Linked DNA regions of Drosophila melanogaster. The protein of the gene in region 1 binds, or shares a complex with, the protein of each later gene. Each region holds a gene or a part of one and is shown in the gene's direction. Other genes may lie near its edges. The genes, in order: Prim1, PolA1, PolA2 and Prim2.

Region 1 (6,417 bases):
TAATCTGTAAACTGTAATGTATACTTATGTCTTCTCGTAAAACAGAGATCGAACGAAGAAATTGTAAATTGTGTAATAAAGTGTGAATTATGTACTTTTTATAAAATCAAAACTCACCCGACCACTGGCCATAATTTTTTCAGCCGGGGCCAATCATTGAACTTGCACTCCTCAAACAAATGACCAAATGTCTCAGCTGACCAACTGGTTTATGCGTTTCCAGACGTAAACGGCAATGGGCAAGATTTCCACAAATTACCAGACATCGTTAGACACATTTTCCGGATCCCAAACGAGTTCTTCAGTTCATTGTGGTTTCTTGTATTTGTTTTCATTGAAATTGCATAAGCCTTAATTGAAATGTTGACGGAAAATGCTTCCTAAATGGTTAAAAGACTTGGAGTTTCTTCGAAATGTCGATGTAATTGATATATAAGCTGATTTCAATTAGCAATAAATAAAAAATCAAACCGCATTGCTAGTATGGCTAGTTTAAATTTGGCGGGGTTTGTCGATATAGTTTACCAGCACTGTTTAAAAATGTCGATAATGACTAGTAAACTTTCTTTACAATTGCCATCTCTAATTGATAAGAAAGGGCAGAGTACATATAAATAAGAAATATATCAATGGTCAGCTAACCAAAGGCAAGAATATAAACAAAATAATGGAGAAAAACAAATATGTACCACGTGTAAATCAGGTGAGCTAATTATGGTGAGCTATTCATGAATTAAAACCACTAAAATTATACATGTTTACCTTTTAGATAGATGCCATCTATTTGAACAAGGACATTGCCCGCCTGATACGCGATAATCTGCTGGAGAACTTGCAAGCCATCTCAGTGAGTATATGAACACTACCATAATTGGCCAATATATACTGTATATCTCTCACAGCCCGTTTTGTTCATCAAAATCCAACCGGAGCTCGACTTGATCATTCAATCCGCAATTTGGTTTGGTTCCGTCGGCAAGCGGTGCTCCACTTTTGGCCAACAGCTACTGGTTCTGGCTTACGATGCCGAAAAGCTGACCGTTTCCAGGCTGGTGCTCCATTTCATCCTGACCGTCTTGCCGGGCTACGTGAAGAGCTGGGAGGAGCGACGCTTAACAAGGCGCGTAGAATGGTTTAGCGAGGCGATTATGTGGGTGGAGAACAGTGCCCTGATACTGAACATCCTCAATTACTTTCGGTTCCTGAAGACAGGACGAAAACCCACTTTGGTGGACTACTTATTGGGATTGGACTACATTAGTCTGCGGAACAATCAAAGGAGAGACATTGGCTACAAGTACCTAACGAGGGAGCTGCTGTGGGGAGGATTTATGGTGCGTGTTAGTTAGTTTGCTTATTATACATATATATTACAGTGTATATTATAGGAAATCCTCGGACTGGTGTTGCCCATCATCAATTTCCGTAAGCTACAAAGAGTGCTAAAATCATGGACATTTTCCGGACGACGGTTAGAGGATAGAGATGGTCCGGCTTTCCTGGCGCCGCAGATGACACTAAGCACCACCTGCACATTCTGTGGAGAGCGACCCACATTGCCCCACCACATGGGCTGTGGTCATATTTATTGCTATTACTGCCTTAATGCAAATGTTTTAACGGATGCCAGTTTCTGCTGCCCCAACTGCGGTTCTGCGTGTCCTGAGTCGGGAATCCAAAGTGTCTGATAAATAGGAATATAGTGCATGTGATGGTTTTATATGTCTTTTATTAGTTTTAAGCGAAAAGTGGGCTGTAAGTAATAAACAAATCATTTTCATATTCCGCCAAATGTGTGTACTTTTAGTGTTAGCAAGCAGAGTAGTGTTGGTAGTCGTACAAAAACAGCTATTATTTACTTGCCCAGTGCCAGGAGTCGTGCGATATAAACTACATAAAAAGTGTATAATTAAACGAAAATAAAAAGCAAAAACTGTTTAGGGCGAAGTATAAAGCCTTGCGGATCCAAAGTTAACTGCTGATTTTCCAAGAACAACAGTTAAGATCAAAAAGTAAGTTCTAAATCCCTATCTTTGGTAAATAAAAAGCGCGCGAAAATATGGGAACAGCTGTTGCATTCTCAACCAGCGTTGCCAAATGTGGCAAATAAATTAAGCAATTATATGAACTCAACTGTTAAGTAGCTCTAACCGTATTTAAGCCACTAGATTAGATAGATAGACTAAGAACATGATTAATATTCATATTTTTTGGGTGGCAAAGCCACACCCAATTTGTTTTGCAATTTCGCGAATCAGCTGCCTGCGGCGATGTGGCAACGCCATTACTTTGTTATTATCTCATTTTTCTGCTGCGCATTTCGTCTTTGTCCGAATTTTTTTGAAGAAAACAATACAATTAATCGCTTCACCAAGAACACGACAAGTAGTTGGAAACCCACGAATTAAACAATTTTTTTGGAGTTGCGTAATTGCATAAAAATAAATAAAGGCATAACCAGCGAAAATAAGAAAACGAGAGCAAACAATTGAAAACAGAAAGTGCTGAAATAATAACAAATACACTTGGCCATCAATTGCGTATATATATAATTGTTTAAATATATTCGCAACGCGAACTGATTTCACATATCAAGGTCAGTAAGTTGACGACTCGCAGCAACAACAATAACAAACCAAGATCCCTTAAAAACCCCCAGGTGAAAATGCTAGATCTGGAGATCGTGCCGGAGATTTCCCTGGGCTGCGATGCCTGGGAATTTGTGCTGGGCATGCACTTCTCGCAGGCTATCGCCATCATCCAGTCGCAGGTGGGCATCATCAAGGGAGTCCAGGTGCTGTACTCGGATACCACTCCCCTGGGCGTGGACATCATTATCAACCTGCCACAGGATGGCGTTCGCTTGATCTTTGATCCCGTCAGTCAGCGTTTGAAGACCATCGAGGTTTTCAACATGAAACTGGTGAAGCTGCGGTATTTCGGCGTATACTTCAATTCCCCGGAGGTGCTGCCGAGTATCGAGCAAATCGAGCACTCCTTTGGAGCCACACATCCTGGGGTTTACGATGCAGCCAAACAATTGTTTGCTCTACACTTTCGCGGGCTGAGTTTCTACTTTCCGGTGGACAGCAAGCTGCACTCGGGCTACGCCCATGGACTGAGTTCTCTGGTTTTCCTGAATGGCGCCTCACCCGTCGTGTCCAAGATGTCTCTCTACGCAGGCAGCAATGTGTTGGAGAACAGGGTACCATCTCTTCCCTTGTCCTGCTATCACCGCCAGATGTATTTGGAATCGGCCACTGTTCTCCGAACCGCCTTTGGTCACACGAAGGGTCTGAAGCTGAAGCTCTTTACTGAGGGTTCAGGAAGGGCTTTGGAGCCACGCCGTCAGTGCTTTACGCGAGAGCTGCTCTTCGGCGATAGCTGCGAGGATGTGGCCACCAGTCTTGGAGCACCCAATCGTATATTCTTCAAGAGCGAGGACAAAATGAAGATACACAGCTCGAGTGTCAATCGACAAGCACAGAGCAAGCGAAGCGATATTTTCTTTAACTACTTTACACTTGGCATCGATGTGCTCTTTGATGCACGGACGCAGACCTGCAAGAAATTCATTCTGCACACCAACTACCCCGGTCACTTCAACTTTAATATGTACCATCGCTGCGAGTTCCAGTTCCTGCTGCAGGCGGATCACCCTTCGATGAGTGATAGTGGTCACGATTTGGTGACGCCGACTAAGCAGGAACATGTGAACATAACCGCCTACACCAAATGGGACGCGATCAGCAGCGCATTGGCCACCTCAGAGCGGCCAGTGGTGCTGCATCGCGCCAGCTCGACGAACACAGCGAATCCGTTCGGCTCCACCTTTTGCTATGGCTACCAAGACCTGATTTTCGAGGTGATGCCCAATAGCCACATCGCCTCGGTAACGCTCTACAATACTGCGCCTCCCAGGCAGCCAGCGCATTCCTGGCAGCAGCACAAAATGCAAGACATTCGCCTCACAGTGGCCTAAAGTTGTGGAATTTACTGGGCTCCTTTCGCTGCTCCATGATGCTGAACAAGGGAAAGCCCGCCGGTCGTGCTCTAATCTTTAAGCTACAACAATGATCTAACATAGCCGTAAAGTAGACACATACATTATATAGTAATATATAGATATATATATATACATGGTAGACGTAGATTTCCAATGTAAGCTAAGCCAATCATCGGACGAACTCTCTGACCAGGTTCATTCTGCGGTATTCCATTGCGATAGCTCGATTCAATTTGTTTCGACCCATAACTGACAATTAATAAGCCTCTTACGTTTAAAAAATGCATGTCGTTAATATATTTCAGTACTTTAAGCTCCAATCGTGTATCTCTCTTTGAAAAAGAAAAAATCAGCAAAAAAATATATAAATATAAGGTTTCGACAAAAAGCTGAATGGTTTTGATTTCTTTACGGTTATAAGTATTCTGTTCTTTTTCTGGATATAATCATAAGATATGTGGTTTATTTTCAGTTTCTTAAAATGCCCGAACAAGTCACAGATCAGGAGAACCAGGCTCCACAGCAGCAGACTACTGCTGTGCATGCCTACAATCCCGAAGTCCTGCAGGATATGTTGCCCGTGTATTACAGGCGCCTCTTTCCCCACCTGCCCTTCTACCGTTGGCTATCGTATGGATCATGTAAGTACACCCAACTACAATCCTTAAAAATAGCCGTTGATCATTATTCTTTTCAGCCGAGGATGCTATCTTTTCCAATCGTGAAATTTCCTTTACACTGCAGGACGATATCTACATACGTTACCTCTGCTTTGATACCCAAGCTGAATTGGAAAAGGAGATCTGCTCGAGGAATCCTATTAAGATTGACATAGGACCAGTAATGCATTCCAAACCCAAAAACCATCGTTCAATTCCTGGCGGCTTAACGCCCGTACAACGTGAACTCGTTTTTGATATAGATATGACGGATTACGACGAGGTGCGTACCTGTTGCTCTGGAGCAGGGGTATGCCTGAAATGCTGGAAGTTTATGGTGCTGGCTGCCAGGGTTTTGGATGTCGCTTTGCGCGAGGATTTCGGTTTCGAGCACATAATCTGGATTTTCTCAGGTAGACGAGGTATCCATTGCTGGGTTTGCGACTACCAAGCCCGTCACTTGGACGGACGTGGTCGCTATGCTGTGGCGGAATACCTTAACATTATTACCTATGCCAGTTTCGCGGGCGGCAATTCACCCAGATGTTCAATGGGAGACCGACCGCATCATAGCCTAAAGAGAGCCTTAAAGATAGTGGAGCCCATGTTCGAGGAGATTGTACTAGAGGATCAGAATCTTTTTGGAACTCCCAAGGGAGTTACCAAACTTCTTAACATGGTCCACGATGACGCTGCGCGTGGCGAACTAGAATCTTATATGCAAAAGAATTTGGAGGATGGAGCACACTCGCGACTCGTTTGGGAGAGCTTCATTAAGTACGCCAACTCTATGAGAACATCCACGACAAGTGCCTGGAGTCGCAAGCTGAAGAACATTGTAGCCGAAATCCAGCTTGGACTGCTCTATCCTCGTTTGGACATCAATGTCACTAGGGGATTCAATCATTTGCTAAAGGCACCGTTTTGCATTCATCCAGCCACTGGAAAAGTGTGCGTTCCGTTTAGTGTGAGTGCTGTGGCCAAGTTTGATCCCACCACAGTGCCGACGATCACCCAGTTGCTTCACGAGATCAACGCTTTCGATGATAAGAGCAAGAGCTACATGGAGGCGCCGGAGGATAAGAGCCGCATCAAGGATCACAAGAAGACTAGCATGTTCAAGGGTGTCGTGGTTTTCGAGGAGTTCCTGCGAAAACTGGAGCGCAGCCAGAAATCTGCCAGCTTGCAGTTTTGATTCTAATTTTACAAACTAACATAAGAAAATAAAAGGTTAATGAATATTTCAGTATGCATACACTTTCTCGTTTGCCGCTTGCGTATTTATCTTTATTAAGTTTTTGTATTGTAATCATTAGGCTAGCAACAATAAATAGTCTAGGCGACATCGCACCGGTTCCGGTTCACAATCCGGCTCTCACATGCAGCGCAGTCGCACCAGCGGCACCACGTTGCCGTCCTTATCGTCCACATCTACCTCAACCTCTAGCTGGTAAAGCCCATCCTCCGGTATCGTGCTGTCGGGCAGACGGGCCAGGATCTCGCTCTCCCCGGTGCGCAGCTTAAACGAAGCAGCTGCTTTGCTTACGTCGTCACCCTTTCCCTCCTCTGATTGGGGCAGTGATATCCGTATTTTGGCAGGCAGAACGCTCCCCCTGCCCAGGACCAATTTGGCGTTGGATTCGTCATTACCGTGCCAAATGAAGAGGTCATCCTCAGCCACCACGCAATCCTCCTCCTTGTGAAGCTGCTGTTCGAGGGGGTCAATCAGGCACACAGCTTGGCGCGCGCAGC
Region 2 (7,489 bases), on another chromosome or scaffold:
CTCAGGGAACTGGCCGCCTCCGCCGGACTGCTCTCCCTGAAGCCCCGCCAGCCTCTCAAGCCGGTGATCAAGACGCGTGGCTCCCCCGGACCGGAGTTCCCCAAGAAGGTCACCTTTAGTGCCTTTGCCACCGTGCAGGTGGTGTGAAGGGCGTGAACAGTGGGTCTAGCATCTGTTGCATCTGTGCAGGCACAGAGCAAGGTAATAACATTTACTTTTTGTTTTTTAAGTATTTTTAAGAATACTCCAGATCAAGATAATTCTTTGATACAAAATAAACTTTAGAAAAATATGAAATACATTTAAGCAAGCAATGTAATTATACTGGAATAAGAATTGCAACCCACTTTATATTCTGATTTAATATAGTTACATAATAACATAGTATAATATTAAACCAATTGTAAACTGAATTATTCATTGATTCTTTTTCTTCTCTTTTCATTTCAGTATCATCTTGCACTTGTTAACGATTATTTCTTGTTGTTTTTATATTTGTTGCTGTTGTTAAATGTTTAGCCAAAACTATGGAAACCATACACGGAGAAAAATTCCTTAAAACATAAAAAAAAAACATAATAAATTGTTGTGCCATGTCTGTGGCTTGAAATAAAAATGAAAACCATATAGAAATGAATAACACACCCCATAGCTAAAGAAAATACCTCAAGGATCCTAAATAACTGCCCTCCTTTATCTTATTTTATCTGCTTTGCTTAACTGCCCTCCTTTATCTTATTTTATCTGCTTTGCTGTACATTCTGGTAGACTGACATTTTAATATCCTTTCTATAGTTCCTCTCGATCACCCTATCCTAAAACAGTATTTTCCATATTTTCTCATCTTCCGAAATCTTTCCTCACCAACACACCCGAAAATAATTGTAAAATATAACGACTGCAAGTGCAGAAATTCTAAATATTTACTATTAAATTGTAAATATGTACGAATTTTTGCTTATAACAATTAAACAGCAAATATAGTCATAAATATATGTATTCATGTAATATGTAAGTCTGTTTTGTGTATGTGTGTATATATATAAACCATGATTTTGCATTGATAATTATATAGGGTATGAAATCACCTTTCAAATCCACACAAATTTTAATCGAAATTGCTGTATATTGTATTTAAAGTATAATATTATATATATCTTATAAGCCTAATATTATGCATGATAAATAAAATACGATTAAAACCAAACAAACTATTGTCTTTTAATTTGGGAATAAAAACATATGACAAGCACATTAAAAGGGGATCTTCATGGAGCAACTGCTAATGGAAAAGTTTTTCTTTTTGTGATCCACTGCAATTAAAAAGCTGAAGCTCGAAAATGTAAAATCTAAAAGAACGCCCTTTAAATGGTGATCATTGTTCTTTCTTACTTGGTGAATTCATTTCAATTATCAGGTCGGATTTCCCGCCAAAATATAGCAGTCATTTTAAATCGCTGTAACTGTTATGTTAACTATTCGTGTTAACTGTAATCGATCATTTGTGCTTACAGATTAGACGCTAACAGTGCCCAGAGCTAACATAACGCGCTGCCACCTATCGATATATTACCACTCAGAAATTCATAAAATAGAGATGTTACTTAATAATAAAATTGCAATTTGGGATTAAGTTATTGTATGGCTTTTATTTTTTTTAATTTCCTTACATTCTTCCTCTTCTTAACGACACTATCGATATTACATTGCAAAAGTCCGGCAGCGCTTTATGTATCGTAGCTCTGTTATCGATATGTTCCCGCCATTCCCGCTTTGATCATCCTCCAGCCCTGGTCACAAAACAATTTTTGCAAACTGCAGCACAACACGGGGAAATTATTATCAAAGTTAGCCAGTTGCAATGTCTGAATCACCGTGTAAGTTAATAAGATAACTCCCTTAAACATATTTTTTACCGAAATTATAAATTTCCAGCTGAACCGCGCGCTAAGCGCCAGAGAGTAGACAAAAATGGTAGGTTCGCCGCCATGGAGCGACTGCGTCAGCTGAAGGGAACCAAGAACAAATGCAAAGTGGAGGACCAGGTGGACGATGTATACGATGTGGTTGATGAGCGGGAGTACGCGAAGAGGGCGCAGGAAAAGTACGGTGACGATTGGATCGAAGAGGGTAAGTTGGAACTCTGAACTCTATACTTTATAATACTAAATTTTAACTTTTAGATGGTACTGGTTATGCAGAAGATCTTCGGGATTTCTTCGAGGACGAAGATGAGTACTCCGATGGGGAGGAGGATCGGAAGGACTCGAAGAAGAAGAAGGGTGTTGCCCCCAACAGCAAAAAGAGACCACGGGAGAATGAAAAACCAGTAACAGGAAAAGCATCCATCAAGAATCTATTCAGCAATGCAGTGCCCAAAAAGATGGATGTAAAGACCAGTGTGAAAGACGATGATATCCTTGCTGATATTTTGGGCGAAATAAAGGAAGAGCCTGCAGCGACGTCAGAAAAGGCGGAAAAGGTTATAGCCCCAGCGAAAATATCAGTTACGTCGCGTAAATTCGATGCCGCCGCTGCCAAGGAATACATGAATAGTTTTCTAAACAACATCAAAGTTCAGGAGCAGGAACGTAAGAAAGCGGAGGCCAGTAGCGATAACGAGATGCTGGAGCGCATTCTGAAGCCCAAGGCAGCAGTTCCAAACACAAAGGTGGCCTTTTTCTCCAGTCCTACAATCAAAAAAGAGCCCATGCCTGAAAAGACACCTGCAAAAAAAGCCACCGAAGATCCATTCTCCGACAATGAAATGGACTTTAGCTGTCTGGATGACGATGAAAACCAGTTTGATGTGGAGAAGACACAGCAGACCGAGAAGGTTTCCCAAACGAAAACAGCAGCTGAGAAAACATCCCAAAGCAAAGTCGCCGAAAAATCAGCTCCCAAAAAAGAAACAACTGGATCGCCAAAGGAATCGGAATCGGAGGACATTAGTAGGTTGCTGAACAATTGGGAGTCTATATGCCAAATGGACGATGATTTTGAAAAGTCCGTGCTCACCACGGAGCAGGATTCGACAATCTCCTCAGATCAACAGCTTCGGTTCTGGTACTGGGAGGCCTATGAGGATCCAGTAAAAATGCCCGGCGAAGTCTTCCTGTTCGGTCGGACCGCAGATGGAAAGTCCGTCTGTCTGCGTGTACAGAACATCAACCGTGTGCTCTATCTGCTGCCCCGACAATTTGTGAGTATTATTCTACAAATACTTAGTCCTTAGGTGAAGTGTTGTTTCTGAATATATTCTTTTAGCTCTTAGATCCCATTTCGAAGGAGCCCACCAAGCAGAAGGTGACCGTCGCAGACATATACAAGGAGTTCGACAGCGAGGTGGCAAACCAACTGAAGCTCGAGTTCTTTCGATCCCGCAAGGTCACCAAGAGTTTTGCCCATCACGCTATCGGTATTGAAGTTCCGCAATCTTGCGATTACTTGGAGGTTCACTACGATGGAAAGAAACCACTGCCCAATTTGTCGGCTGACAAGAAATACAATTCTATAGCACACATATTCGGCGCCACCACCAATGCACTCGAAAGATTCCTCTTAGATCGGAAAATCAAAGGTCCCTGTTGGCTGCAGGTGACTGGATTCAAGGTGAGCCCAACTCCCATGAGTTGGTGTAACACCGAGGTCACATTGACAGAGCCCAAGAATGTAGAGTTGGTGCAAGATAAGGGAAAGCCAGCGCCACCACCTCCACTTACGCTACTATCGCTTAATGTTCGCACCTCAATGAATCCGAAAACATCGAGAAACGAGATATGCATGATTTCCATGCTGACCCACAATCGTTTCCATATCGACCGCCCTGCTCCACAGCCCGCTTTCAATCGACATATGTGCGCTTTGACTCGCCCGGCGGTGGTTAGTTGGCCTTTAGATTTGAACTTTGAGATGGCAAAATATAAGTCTACCACAGTGCACAAACATGACTCAGAGAGAGCCCTGTTGAGTTGGTTCTTAGCTCAGTACCAGAAAATAGATGCAGATCTCATTGTAACCTTCGATTCCATGGATTGTCAACTAAATGTAATAACCGATCAAATTGTAGCCCTGAAGATTCCCCAATGGTCTCGAATGGGGCGACTGAGGCTGAGCCAATCGTTTGGCAAGCGATTGCTGGAACATTTCGTCGGCAGAATGGTTTGTGATGTAAAGCGATCTGCAGAGGAGTGTATAAGAGCAAGATCCTATGATCTGCAAACGCTATGCAAACAAGTACTGAAGCTTAAGGAATCGGAGAGAATGGAAGTGAATGCCGATGATCTGCTAGAGATGTATGAGAAAGGAGAAAGCATTACCAAGCTCATATCGCTCACCATGCAGGACAATTCATATTTACTAAGGCTGATGTGTGAGCTCAACATCATGCCGTTGGCGCTACAAATCACTAATATCTGCGGCAATACCATGACCAGGACCCTTCAAGGAGGTCGTTCTGAACGAAATGAGTTCTTGTTGCTGCATGCCTTCCACGAGAAGAATTACATAGTGCCGGACAAGAAGCCGGTTTCTAAACGAAGTGGTGCAGGAGATACGGATGCTACGCTTTCAGGTGCAGATGCGACGATGCAAACCAAAAAGAAGGCAGCCTATGCTGGTGGCTTAGTGTTGGAGCCCATGCGTGGTCTCTACGAGAAGTACGTTCTCCTCATGGACTTTAACTCCCTGTACCCCAGTATAATACAGGAGTACAACATATGCTTCACCACCGTCCAACAGCCGGTGGATGCAGATGAGTTGCCCACCCTACCCGACTCGAAAACGGAACCTGGAATCTTACCCCTTCAATTGAAACGCTTGGTGGAGTCGCGAAAAGAGGTGAAAAAGCTAATGGCAGCGCCTGATCTTTCGCCGGAACTCCAGATGCAGTACCACATTCGGCAGATGGCCCTGAAGCTAACTGCGAACTCCATGTATGGTTGCTTGGGTTTCGCCCACTCCCGGTTCTTTGCCCAGCACTTGGCTGCTTTGGTCACCCACAAGGGCAGAGAAATCCTCACGAACACACAACAACTCGTGCAAAAGATGAACTATGACGTTGTTTATGGAGACACAGATTCCCTGATGATAAATACCAACATAACCGACTACGACCAGGTCTACAAGATTGGTCACAATATTAAGCAGAGTGTAAATAAACTATACAAGCAGCTGGAATTGGATATCGATGGAGTATTTGGCTGTTTGCTCTTGCTGAAGAAAAAGAAGTATGCCGCTATCAAGTTGAGCAAGGATTCCAAGGGAAACCTGAGGCGTGAACAGGAGCACAAGGGCCTGGATATAGTACGTCGCGATTGGTCTCAGCTGGCTGTAATGGTGGGAAAAGCCGTTCTCGATGAAGTGCTGTCGGAAAAGCCTTTGGAGGAGAAACTGGATGCAGTGCATGCCCAACTGGAGAAGATCAAAACTCAAATTGCAGAGGGTGTAGTACCGCTGCCACTGTTTGTCATCACCAAACAGTTAACTCGGACTCCCCAGGAATATGCCAATAGTGCTTCATTGCCCCACGTCCAGGTGGCCCTTCGTATGAATCGCGAGCGTAATAGGCGGTACAAAAAGGGCGATATGGTGGACTATGTGATCTGTTTGGATGGGACAACAAATGCTGCCATGCAGCGAGCATACCATTTGGATGAGCTCAAGACCAGTGAGGATAAGAAGCTGCAGCTGGACACGAATTACTACCTGGGACACCAGATCCATCCGGTAGTCACGCGAATGGTGGAGGTGCTGGAGGGAACCGATGCGAGTCGCATCGCCGAGTGTCTGGGCATGGACCCAACCAAGTTCCGTCAGAATGCGCAGAGGTACTTACTATCTTATTACTCCTTACAAACTCTAACCTAACGAATATTTTGGTTATGTAGAACCCAGCGAGAGAACACCGAGCAGTCGGAGGGTGAGTCCCTGCTCAAGACGACTCTGCAGTTGTATCGCCTGTGCGAACCGTTCCGCTTCCAGTGCGTTACCTGTAAGACGGAGCAGCTGATGGCGTCTGCGTACCGACCGGGTCCAAGCAACTCCCACATAGCCGTACTCCAGCAATGCGCTAAGTCCGAGTGCCAAACGGCACCGATTCAGTACCTGGCAAGCGTGCGCAATCAGCTGCAGCTTTCCATGCGGCAGTATGTGCAACGGTTCTATAAAAATTGGCTGGTCTGCGATCACCCGGATTGCAACTTCAACACCCGCACACACTCCTTGAGGAAGAAATCCCACCGCCCGCTGTGCCAAAAGTGCAGGAGCGGCAGCCTGCTGCGTCAGTATACGGAGCGGGACCTGTACAATCAGCTGTGCTACCTGCGATTCATGTTCGACCTCGGCAAGCAAACGCTGCAGCAAAAACGTAAGTAAATACAATGTAGTTATAAGCAGTATCAAAAACTAAAACAATAGTTTGTGTATAAGAACAAAATGAAGAATGTGGAGTACGAGAGAGAAATATCGACACTAAATAACAAGACACATGAAAGGAAAAATCAGTCGAAATATTTTATAGTTCCCGTGATCTCGACGGATTTCAGTAGTTCTTTATGCTTGTATCCTTGAATTCTTAAAAATTGTTGTAGTTTATATATTAGTTCTGACACCTAATACATATATTTCCCTTAAGATTGGTATCATTAAGTTTTACAGCATTTCATATTGAAATTATATTTTGTCCATATTATCAAGCCACCCTCACACCGGAGCTGGAGCAGGCCTATCAACTCCTATACGAAACGGTGGATCAGCAGTTGCAGAGCTCCTCCTACGTGATCATCTCGCTAAGCAAGCTCTTTGCCCGATCCCTGGCTCAGATGTCCCTGCAACCGTCCGTGGCGCAGCCCCAGATCGAAGCAATTCCGAGTGCTTTGGCGGATGTGGTCTAAGTGTTTAATTAACTAGCCTTTGTTATAAGTTCCATTAAAAATACTACAAAAGAGATACAGAGATACAGTATGGTTAACTAGATGAGGTCACGTGGCGAGGAACTTCTCGAGCGGAAAGTGCCGGAAGGACTCGTTGAATATATCCGTAAATGCCGTGCTAACCAACTCGTTAATCATCGGCTTGATGAAGGGCAATCCCAGCTGCCACATGCTGTTGATGACTCCATCGGCCAGTTGGTTGAGGGGCTGTCCCTGCAGCAAGTTCTCAATGTGCAGCTCCATTCCGCCGATGCGGTCCACCTCCACATGGACCTTGATGAGTGAGCCCGGACCGCCGATGCGCCTAACGCTGGTGGTTTGACTGAGGAAGTAAATAAAGTGAGCGATAGGTTGTCATGTAAGCCAAAAGCTATCAACAATACTGGTGTTTGCAACACAGCTTGGGAAATACATATTTCCATGCAACTCGGTGCCCACCTGTAATCGTAGAGGGTGAGGTTCCAGTGGCCTTTTCTGTTCATCTCAGTACCCAGCATCTTGGCGGCGAACTCGTACTCGCCCTCCAGACTTTTGTCGGGGAAATACTGAGTGTAGAC
Region 3 (4,439 bases), on another chromosome or scaffold:
CCTTTGGCAAGGCAATCGTATTGCTGCTGTTGCTCGCCTGTTGTTGCTGCAACACCAGGGGTTGCTGCTGTGTCTGTTGCGGTTGTGGCGGCTGCTGTTTCGGCTGCACTTGTTGTGAGGGTGGATTCTGACCCTTTTGGCTCTTCGCCGCTGCTGCTTGCGCCCTTGTTGTTGCCGTTGCTCCAATTGCTGTTGCTGTTGTGCCAGTTGGAGTTGCTGCCGTGGCGGACTTTGCAGACTTGCCTACTTGTTGTTGCCCCGTTTGAGGCGCCTTCTTGGCAGCCATTGTTCCTGACGACAATGACGTCGCGCTGCCCGATGTTGGCGTTTTCACTGCACTTCTCAAGGGCTTCGAGCTGCTGCCGCTGGCACTTGATCCTGTTGCAAGGCTGCTCGACTTGATGCGACCGCTGCCGCTGGTGCTGCTGAGGTTGTTGTTGTTCGCCGACGACAACTTGGTCCTTTTTGTATCCTCGACAAGTCCACGCATTTCGCTGCTGCTTCAAAGTACGCCTGAGTAGTGTGTGTGTGTGCGTGGGCGTCCATAAAAATACAGATATATACATATATCGATATTAGCTGTTCAATAAGTTCCGAGTTTCCTTTGCTGCCGCTTTCCCTCAACTGTTTTTTCATTACCTTAGAGGGGTTTTTTCCTTTTGTAAACCTCTTTTCCAGAGGGTTTTACTTCTGAAATTAACAAAATAACCGAAAGTTCTCGCCGCTTTGATTTTGCACCGTTATCCTGTTGTGTACGCGTTGAGTAAGACTGGCAAAAAGTTCTTTATCCTATTGATTTGTCCAGTGCGCCAAGCTCGCAAGCTCCTCGCGAGCTTTCGTTGGGGGTGTTCTCGATGGTCACGCTGTGTGTGGTGCGCAAATCACCTTTGACACTTTCCCAATGCACTTTTAAGTTATTTTTAATCATATTATTTATACAAGTACCGAAATATTTCAACGACAGTTTCGCACAGCCCACGAAATTGCTAATACTAATTAATAAATACATTTTAGAATAGTTTTGAGTACCTAAATTGTTATATTAAATATATATGTGTATATATTTATATATATTATATATAATATATTTTATATATGCAACATTATTACTTAACATATTATTATTAGCGCACAATGGAAATTTGGTTTCCATTGCTGCTTATCATCGAATGAATAATAATTCGGACTCACCGCGTTTCAGTCGCTTTGCTTTCAGTTTCGATGGCGACGGGGATGAAGCACTGGCGCTCGCCACCGTGTCCGGCGCAACAGGTACAACAGGTGGTGCGGGCTCGTCGGGATACGGGTACGTGGTGGTGCCATCGATTACCTCGGAAGAGGCGGCTGCTGCGGCCGCATTCGAGAACTGTGTGGATATGTGGCTGAAGATCTGCGAGGAGATGCTCTCCGTGCGCCGGAAGGTGTTCCGCAGGCGGTCCAGCGATGACGTGGGGGCGCTGGGCGCAGGCGCGGCACCTCCGGTGGTGGGCGTAACCGGAATGGAGACACTCGAGGATTGGGAGTCTTCACTCCTTTCGCGGCGCACCAGCAGATCGTCCGTGCTCATGGCGAATCACTTGCTTCGCGGCGATTATCAGGACACTGTGCGGAGTCACATGAATCAAAATGACGCGATTACAGCCGCTAATTTCGCTTGTTTTGCGCTTGAACGCGGGTAAACAAAAAAGTTTGTCAATACAAAATTAAAACAGCTGTTGCACTGCGATTGGGGATGGGCGATAACAATCACTGGTTACAGATCACGGTTATCGCAGCTCGATGGGAGCTGTTATGTTATTGAACTGACTATGCTTATCGATAAGAAAACTCAAGCAGGTGTTAAAAGCATCATAGGGTGGCAACACTGTGCCCACTTTTACCGCCAAAATAAATTGCTAGGTTTATTTACGAAAATTAAACGCCCAACGAAAGGACAACGAATGGAGGAGGAATTGAAGCAGCAGTTCGACGAGATGGGCGTGGAGCCAGCGGACGCAGTTCTGGGCAGGTGTGCGGAGCTGGCCATTACCTACAACATCCACGACGCCACCGAGTTCGTGGAGCAGTGGATGGCCTTCAGTTTGTCGCACCTCCAAGGCGAGGATCCTGCGATCGAGAATCTGGGCGACTTTGAGCGCAAGGTGTTGCAGCTGCGGAAGGACAAGGCGGGATACAAGGCAACTGGCCAGAAGGCGAAATCATATGGTTCGCCCTCTGTACAGGATACGAGCTCACTGGCCACCTATGGCGTCATGGAGGACGATCCCATGCTGGATGACTATGTCAGCGAATCGGCAGTGGACTCCTCCGCTCTGCACACGCCCAAGGCCAAGAAGCAGTCGGATCGGACCGCCAATCTCAAGGGCGCCGCACTCTTTAGCCCCGCCAGCTATACACCCCAATCGGCAAAGAGGAAAGCAGGTTTAGAAACACCATCCAACTCAGTGGCCGGCAAGCCGGGCGATATAGTTGACACCTTCGGACATCCCAAACTCCTGGCTGGCTCCAGCTGGCAGTCACAAATGGAGCACACGGTTCCGGTGACTCAAAAACTGCTGCACAACGACGCCCCGCTGACCATCGCAAATTTGGGCTACATGAACGACCTGCTGACCGACCGATGTCACAACCTGCGCGTCCGCTTCAACCAAACCGGTCCGGCACTAGTGGACAAGAAACTTGGACAAGCAGGCGCAGCCGAGTGCATTTGGTATCCGCAGGATAGGCAGGTATTGCAGTCCGCAGGTGGACTCCACGCGGTGGGAATGATTCATTCCGAGGACGATGGCCCACTGGACGCCCACTCCGCATTTATGGCCGTTTTAGATGACGATGTAGAAGATGAAATGGACCCAACGCTCACGCTCAACTTCTCCAGGGTCAAGTCTGCCAGCATATTCCCAGGTCAAGTGGTGCTCGCCAAAGGGTTCATACCCAGGGGCAAAACCTTCATGGTAGAGGAGATACACACAGAGCGCAAACTGACGCCAGCAACGCCACTGCAAATAGACAGGGAGCTTCAGTTTGTGGTGGCCTCCGGACCCTTTACGGACAGTACGGATCTCTTCTACGAACCGCTGCACGACCTGCTCAAGTACCTCAAGGATCACAGACCTGACGTGCTGGTGCTCACGGGACCATTCCTGGATGCCGATCACAAGATGGTCGGCGAACTGGCCGAGACCTTCGATACATTCTTCGAGAAGATGATTGGGGGAATAATGGAGTCGATTGGTAGTCACACAGCAGTGCTGGTGGTGACCAGTCAGAAGGATGCCATGGCTCTTTCCGTATATCCAACGCCGCCGCCCGCTCTGCGCAGAACCTATCCAAATCTATACATGCTGCCCGATCCATCTCTGGTGGACTTGGATGGCTTTACGCTGGGCGTTACCTCAACCGACGTGGTGGACCACCTGTTGAGTCACGAGTTTGCTGTGAATGCCGGCGAGCGGATGCACAGGGCCATCAACCACTTGTTCCACCAGGGCTCCTTCTATCCTTTGTATCCGCCGGCGGACGAAGACATGGCCTACGATTCCCAGCTGGCGTTGAAATATGCACAGCTCAAACAGCTACCAAATGTGCTCATCTTGCCCAGCGATCAGCGGCATTTCATCCGCTTGGTCAACGACTGCCTGGTGATCAATCCCGGCCGTGTCGCGGACAAGAAGGGTGGAACTTTCGCCCGATTCCTGGTGGCGCCTTCGGTGCCGGGAAAGGCGGCCAACATGTTCAACAGTGTGGCGTGTCAAGTCCAACGCATCTAACCTGACCACTTTGTGATGATGATAAGGAAAGGATAGTGGGAAATAGATCAGTACAATATTATTAGTTAATATAATGAACACACTACTTTGTCATAACTTTTCACAAAATACATTCAACAACAAACAACTAGCATTAGTTATTTTGGGCCAAAGTAGGTATTGTATTATTTGTAAACATATGCCCTGGAGTTTTCTCAGACTCAAGTTTTATATACAACAAGATCAATAATGGCTAGCAACGTTGCTGCGCCACAAGCTTCAGCTGGAGGAGATTCGACGGAACTGGAGCGCTGTTGCTGGATCTGTTTTGAGACCGATAAGGAGGCAGGTCGCCAGGCTTGGGTGAATCCATGTCTCTGCCGAGGAACCAATAAGTGGGTGCACCAGAGCTGCATTTCCCTCTGGATCGACGAGAAGACCCGAATAAACAACAATCTGCAAGCCGTTTCCTGTCCACAATGCCAAACGGAGTACACCATTGCATACCCGAATCTCTGGATTTTCGATAGGGCTTTGGAGCTGACCAACGATCTTATCCTAACAAACTTATATAATTGCCTGGCCAATGTCTTCACGGTGGTCTTTGCCTATTGGTCAGCGGTTTCATTCGGAGCAAAAACATATTTGCAGATCACTGGTCAGGAAGGTCACGTTCATCAAATAATTCAA
Region 4 (4,162 bases), about 12 Mb from region 1:
CCGCCATGTTTCAGTCTCTGGAGTCCCTGGAGATCCTCGACTTGAGCTCGAACCATGTGGGCAATTGGTACCGCAGTGCCTTCCACAACAACTCCGCCCTAAGGGTTTTGAACCTGAGAAGCAACACCATCAACATGCTGTCCAACGAGATGTTGAAGGACTTTGAGCGATTGGATTACCTTAGTCTCGGGGACAACGACTTTATTTGCGACTGCCATTTGAGAGCGGTGGTGGAGGTGGCGGCCGCCAATAATAAAGATGCAGACTGCTCCTATAGACTGCTGAACTATAGTCAGAATGCCGTAGGTGAGGAGGTAATATCTCTGGCGGAGTCACTAATTATAGATCGCAAGCTATGGCAGAGTCGCTATATTCCCTGGCTGCAGAGAAGTTACTCCAACATCAGGGAGTTCAATCGCGCGAATCATATAATCAAGCTGCGCTTCTCCTCCGAGGACTACATGGTAGCCAAGTGCTCCGCGGCCCAGCCATACCACTTAGGGGACCTTGACGGAGATCTTACCCTAAAATTTCAGCTGCTCGACTACGAGGCCAGTCAGTATTACTGCTTCAACAACACCGATCAGCTCCAGGTGGATGAGCTCAACTGCCAGATCAGGTCGATGAGTGACCTCGCCGAGGAGTTGCACCACGTTACGAACACAGTGATCGCAGTCATGGGCAGCTTAGTTGGCGCTTGCATCCTGGGATTTATAATTTATCTGAAGCGCTGGCACATCCACTACTATTACTCTTCCCTGAAGTCCGCTGCCTTGTTGTCCAGTGCGTCCAAGGAGTCGGTGAATAAATTCACAAACATATCCCAGAGAGATCCCAGTGCCGTCTACGATATCTTCATCAGCTACTGCCAGAATGATCGGACCTGGGTGCTCAATGAACTGCTGCCGAACGTGGAGGAAACTGGGGATGTGTCCATTTGTCTGCATGAAAGAGATTTTCAGGTGAAGCGTACTTATCTTACAACATTAACTTACTAATAAAGTGAAACCTTAACCCTTAATTCACATGCAGATTGGAGTGACCATCCTAGATAACATCATCTCCTGCATGGATCGCTCGTATTCCCTTATGCTGATCATATCCTCCAAGTTCCTGTTGAGTCATTGGTGTCAATTTGAAATGTATTTGGCACAGCATCGGTAAGGAATCTTTATCTGTAAAATTCAAATATTAAAATCAATATATGTGTGTATATTGTAGCATCTTTGAGGTCAGCAAGGAGCACTTGATCCTGGTTTTTCTGGAGGACATTCCACGGCGAAAGCGACCCAAGACTTTGCAATATCTCATGGATGTGAAAACGTATATAAAGTGGCCGACGGCCAAGGAGGATCGAAAGCTGTTTTGGAAACGTCTGAAGAGATCCCTGGAGGTCATAGGGATCAACTCCAGAGAGATCAGTGTTTAGAAAACATGTAATTTTATCCGGAGAGTTCTAGTCAGTTGTGCACGTACCTGATATAGTATATAAACTACTTAATTACACTTTCATGAAGACGAAAGTTTCCCCACAGTAATCATAGTAATATGCAAAATTTGCTGCTGAACATAAGTATAGTTTAAACATATATTAATAAATAAAGGTATTTAGGTTTTTAAGAGCTTATGTGATGTTTTTGAAATATCTTAACAAAGGCAATAGCGTCGTATATTAAACATAACCTACTACTACTGGACACTATGTAAACAAAGCTAAGGCCTAAGAAATATCTAACAATGCAACACACAATCAATACATCAGTACCAATTGACTGATAATAACAATTAAAAACGTTTAATTTTGAAATACAAATTGAATAAACCGCAAGCATCGATAATGAGCAGAAAACTATCGATAACAACTGACACAGCTGATATTTGCCATCAGTAGTTTGCGCGCCAAAACAACAAACGGGCATTCCACAAATTGTAAATTACTATAGCAATTCCCGCGACTCACAATGGAGTTTGGTCTGAAGAAACGCGCGAGACATGAGGTGAAGGTGGAGGTGGCCAGCCTGGAAACCAAGTACCCGCACAACGTCATGCTGTACCACTATCCGCCGACGGAGGACGTGCACATAGACGAATTCGAGGAGCTGGCTCTAGAGCGCTTGCGCCTTCTCCGCGTCCTGGATCGCGCAAGCACCCGGAACCTGCGCGTGCTCTCAGATGAATGGAAGGAAATCGTGAGTGCGGACCTGACCCGCGAGGGATTGCGCAGCTATTTAAGGCTCTGCTCCACCGGCGGAAGCGCCAAGCACGAGGCGGATATCCAGACCCGCAGGCGGGACTATCTTTCGCACTTCATCTTGCGGCTGGCCTACTGCCGCTCCGAGGACCTTGCGCGCTGGTTCGTGGCCCGCGAAATGGAGCTCTTCCGGTACAAATTCGCTGCACTTAGCAGCTTCGAGGTGAAGCAGTTCCTTGAGGCCAACGGCTTTGAGATTCACCCCCTCACCGAGGCCCAGAAGGACGAAGTCAAGGACGGCCTGTACGAGAGCACGGTCGGACAGAGCGTGGCGAAGATCGAGCTGTTGGACTTCTACAAGGTGCCCTTCACCCAGGTGCTCGATCTGGTGCGCGGACGTCGCTGCTTTTTAAAGGCTGGCTACGCCTATGTTAACACCCACGACCTGGTGTCCCTAGTGGGCACCAAGCAGCAGGACGAGATCGAGCAAGGCCTGCAGGCTGCTAAGACTATGGTGGAGGATGTAGAAGCCGACGAGCGCATCTCCCGCACACTTAAAGCTCTACATAACTCGTATACCGGTAGGGATTACACCGTTTGTCGGGATGCAGCTGTGCCCATCGAGTCGCTCGATCAGCTCTCCAAGACCTCCATGCCGTTGTGTATGCGCATGTGCCACGAGCACATTCGTGCCAACCATCACATAAAACATAGCGGCCGAATGCAATACGGCCTGTTTCTCAAAGGAATTGGCGTGGCACTGGAGGATTCGCTGCGCTTCTGGCGCGAAGAGTTTACCAAGAAAATGGACGCGGATAAGTTTACACGCAGCTACGAGTACAATATTTACCATAACTACGGAAAGAAGGGTTCCATGGTCAACTACACACCCTACTCGTGCGCCAAGATTATCAAGGATGTGGCGGGGCCGGGCGATTGCCACGGCTGTCCGTATAAGAACATGGATCAGGGCTCGTTGAAAACCAAGCTGTCCTCCTATGGCCTGTCAGCCAGTGCCATCGACGAGGTGATGTTCTTTGTGTCCCGCGGTCACTATCAAATTGGATGCGGCAAGTACTTCCAACTTACCCACAATTCACCCGTCGAGCCGAGCATCAATCACCCCAACAACTACTTCGAGGAGAGCCAGATAGCGATGGGCAACCGGCAGAAGCGCGCCAATGGTTCTGCTCCGCCCAAGGCCAGAATCCGTCCAGATATCAAGGGCCATGGGGATCGGTCCATGCTGATGGGTGACGATGACGATGAGTTGTGGCGAATCGCGGAAACCCAGGAGCGTATCATGCAGAGCCAAAAGGACATATCCGAGGCCTTCAATGATGATCTAGATCTTACGCAAATCGATTACTAAACGTTGTACAACATAAATTAACTAAGGTACATATATATTTAAGCATCGTAAATAAGAAAAGTTATATTATTCCATGGTTCGGACTTCACCTCCGGCACAAGTAGCACGTTTTAAGCCTAGGATCAACAGTGTTCTCCGAGTTTCGGCCGTAAGGGGGCCAGCCATTGACATCTACGTAGTAGATGCCCCTGGCTTGGGGATTCATTCGATAGCCCATCGGGGAAACTATGCCAGCAGAACAATCCCGTTTTCTTAGCTCATCCCAAGAAGCGCACTTCTTGCCCATAAAGTTCTTCTCTTGGTGTGGATATGCACTCTCGGCGAAATACTCAACGGCTCGGGTATGAGAGCATCCGATGGTTAGGCAGCCTGGCTGGATGGGATGTGCTCCGCCGGGATAGAAGTCCACATCACCGAGGGGTCCACGCTTGGCCAAAATACCAATGTTGGTGTGGATTATGTCCACTAGCTTGGCATCGCCACGCGTCAATCCTGGCAGAATCTTTTCCCGCCTGAAACATGGCTTGGCCGGATCCAAGCCAGTTATCCTGGGTATAAGTTTTCCGGTAAGCTTCTTAAAAGTCCGACCAGCAGTGCCC

What was found.
Region 2: Prim1 (region 1) and PolA1 share a complex: the UniProt entries of both Drosophila melanogaster proteins name them as parts of the alpha DNA polymerase complex.
Region 3: Prim1 (region 1) and PolA2 share a complex: the UniProt entries of both Drosophila melanogaster proteins name them as parts of the alpha DNA polymerase complex.
Region 4: Prim1 (region 1) and Prim2 share a complex: the UniProt entries of both Drosophila melanogaster proteins name them as parts of the alpha DNA polymerase complex.

Annotation. Positions count from the first base shown.
Region 1 is NT_037436.4:8,338,488-8,344,904, forward strand, and holds Prim1 (DNA primase subunit 1), read left to right. Parts: upstream 1-1,826; 5' UTR 1,827-2,012; intron 2,013-2,297; exon of another isoform or gene 2,298-2,596; intron 2,597-2,659; exon of another isoform or gene 2,660-2,665; coding exon of another isoform or gene 2,666-3,982; exon of another isoform or gene 3,983-4,389; intron 4,390-4,478; 5' UTR 4,479-4,487; coding exon 4,488-4,647; intron 4,648-4,703; coding exon 4,704-5,860; 3' UTR 5,861-5,917; downstream 5,918-6,417. Other genes in the region: Pex2 (peroxin 2), read left to right, coding at 668-703, 770-847, 903-1,334, 1,389-1,688; CG7083 (uncharacterized protein), read left to right, coding at 2,666-3,982; CG7182 (uncharacterized protein), read right to left, coding at 6,041-6,417. UniProt on the Drosophila melanogaster protein: Catalytic subunit of the DNA primase complex and component of the DNA polymerase alpha complex (also known as the alpha DNA polymerase-primase complex) which play an essential role in the initiation of DNA synthesis.
Region 2 is NT_033777.3:21,666,018-21,673,506, reverse strand, and holds PolA1 (DNA polymerase alpha subunit 1), read left to right. Parts: upstream 1-1,756; 5' UTR 1,757-1,861; coding exon 1,862-1,877; intron 1,878-1,935; coding exon 1,936-2,130; intron 2,131-2,183; coding exon 2,184-3,202; intron 3,203-3,267; coding exon 3,268-5,828; intron 5,829-5,888; coding exon 5,889-6,367; intron 6,368-6,696; coding exon 6,697-6,893; 3' UTR 6,894-6,945; downstream 6,946-7,489. Other genes in the region: CG31176 (uncharacterized protein), read left to right, coding at 1-147; Jhbp16 (juvenile hormone binding protein 16), read right to left, coding at 6,981-7,254, 7,371-7,489. UniProt on the Drosophila melanogaster protein: Catalytic subunit of the DNA polymerase alpha complex (also known as the alpha DNA polymerase-primase complex) which plays an essential role in the initiation of DNA synthesis.
Region 3 is NT_033777.3:27,237,334-27,241,772, forward strand, and holds PolA2 (DNA polymerase alpha subunit 2), read left to right. Parts: upstream 1-1,829; 5' UTR 1,830-1,940; coding exon 1,941-3,770; 3' UTR 3,771-3,895; downstream 3,896-4,439. Other genes in the region: CG31064 (uncharacterized protein), read right to left, coding at 1-490; CG17991 (uncharacterized protein), read left to right, coding at 3,999-4,439. UniProt on the Drosophila melanogaster protein: Accessory subunit of the DNA polymerase alpha complex (also known as the alpha DNA polymerase-primase complex) which plays an essential role in the initiation of DNA synthesis.
Region 4 is NT_037436.4:20,359,307-20,363,468, reverse strand, and holds Prim2 (DNA primase subunit 2), read left to right. Parts: upstream 1-1,883; 5' UTR 1,884-1,961; coding exon 1,962-3,563; 3' UTR 3,564-3,636; downstream 3,637-4,162. Other genes in the region: Toll-9, read left to right, coding at 1-962, 1,033-1,160, 1,222-1,429; CG5665 (uncharacterized protein), read right to left, coding at 3,649-4,162. UniProt on the Drosophila melanogaster protein: Regulatory subunit of the DNA primase complex and component of the DNA polymerase alpha complex (also known as the alpha DNA polymerase-primase complex) which play an essential role in the initiation of DNA synthesis.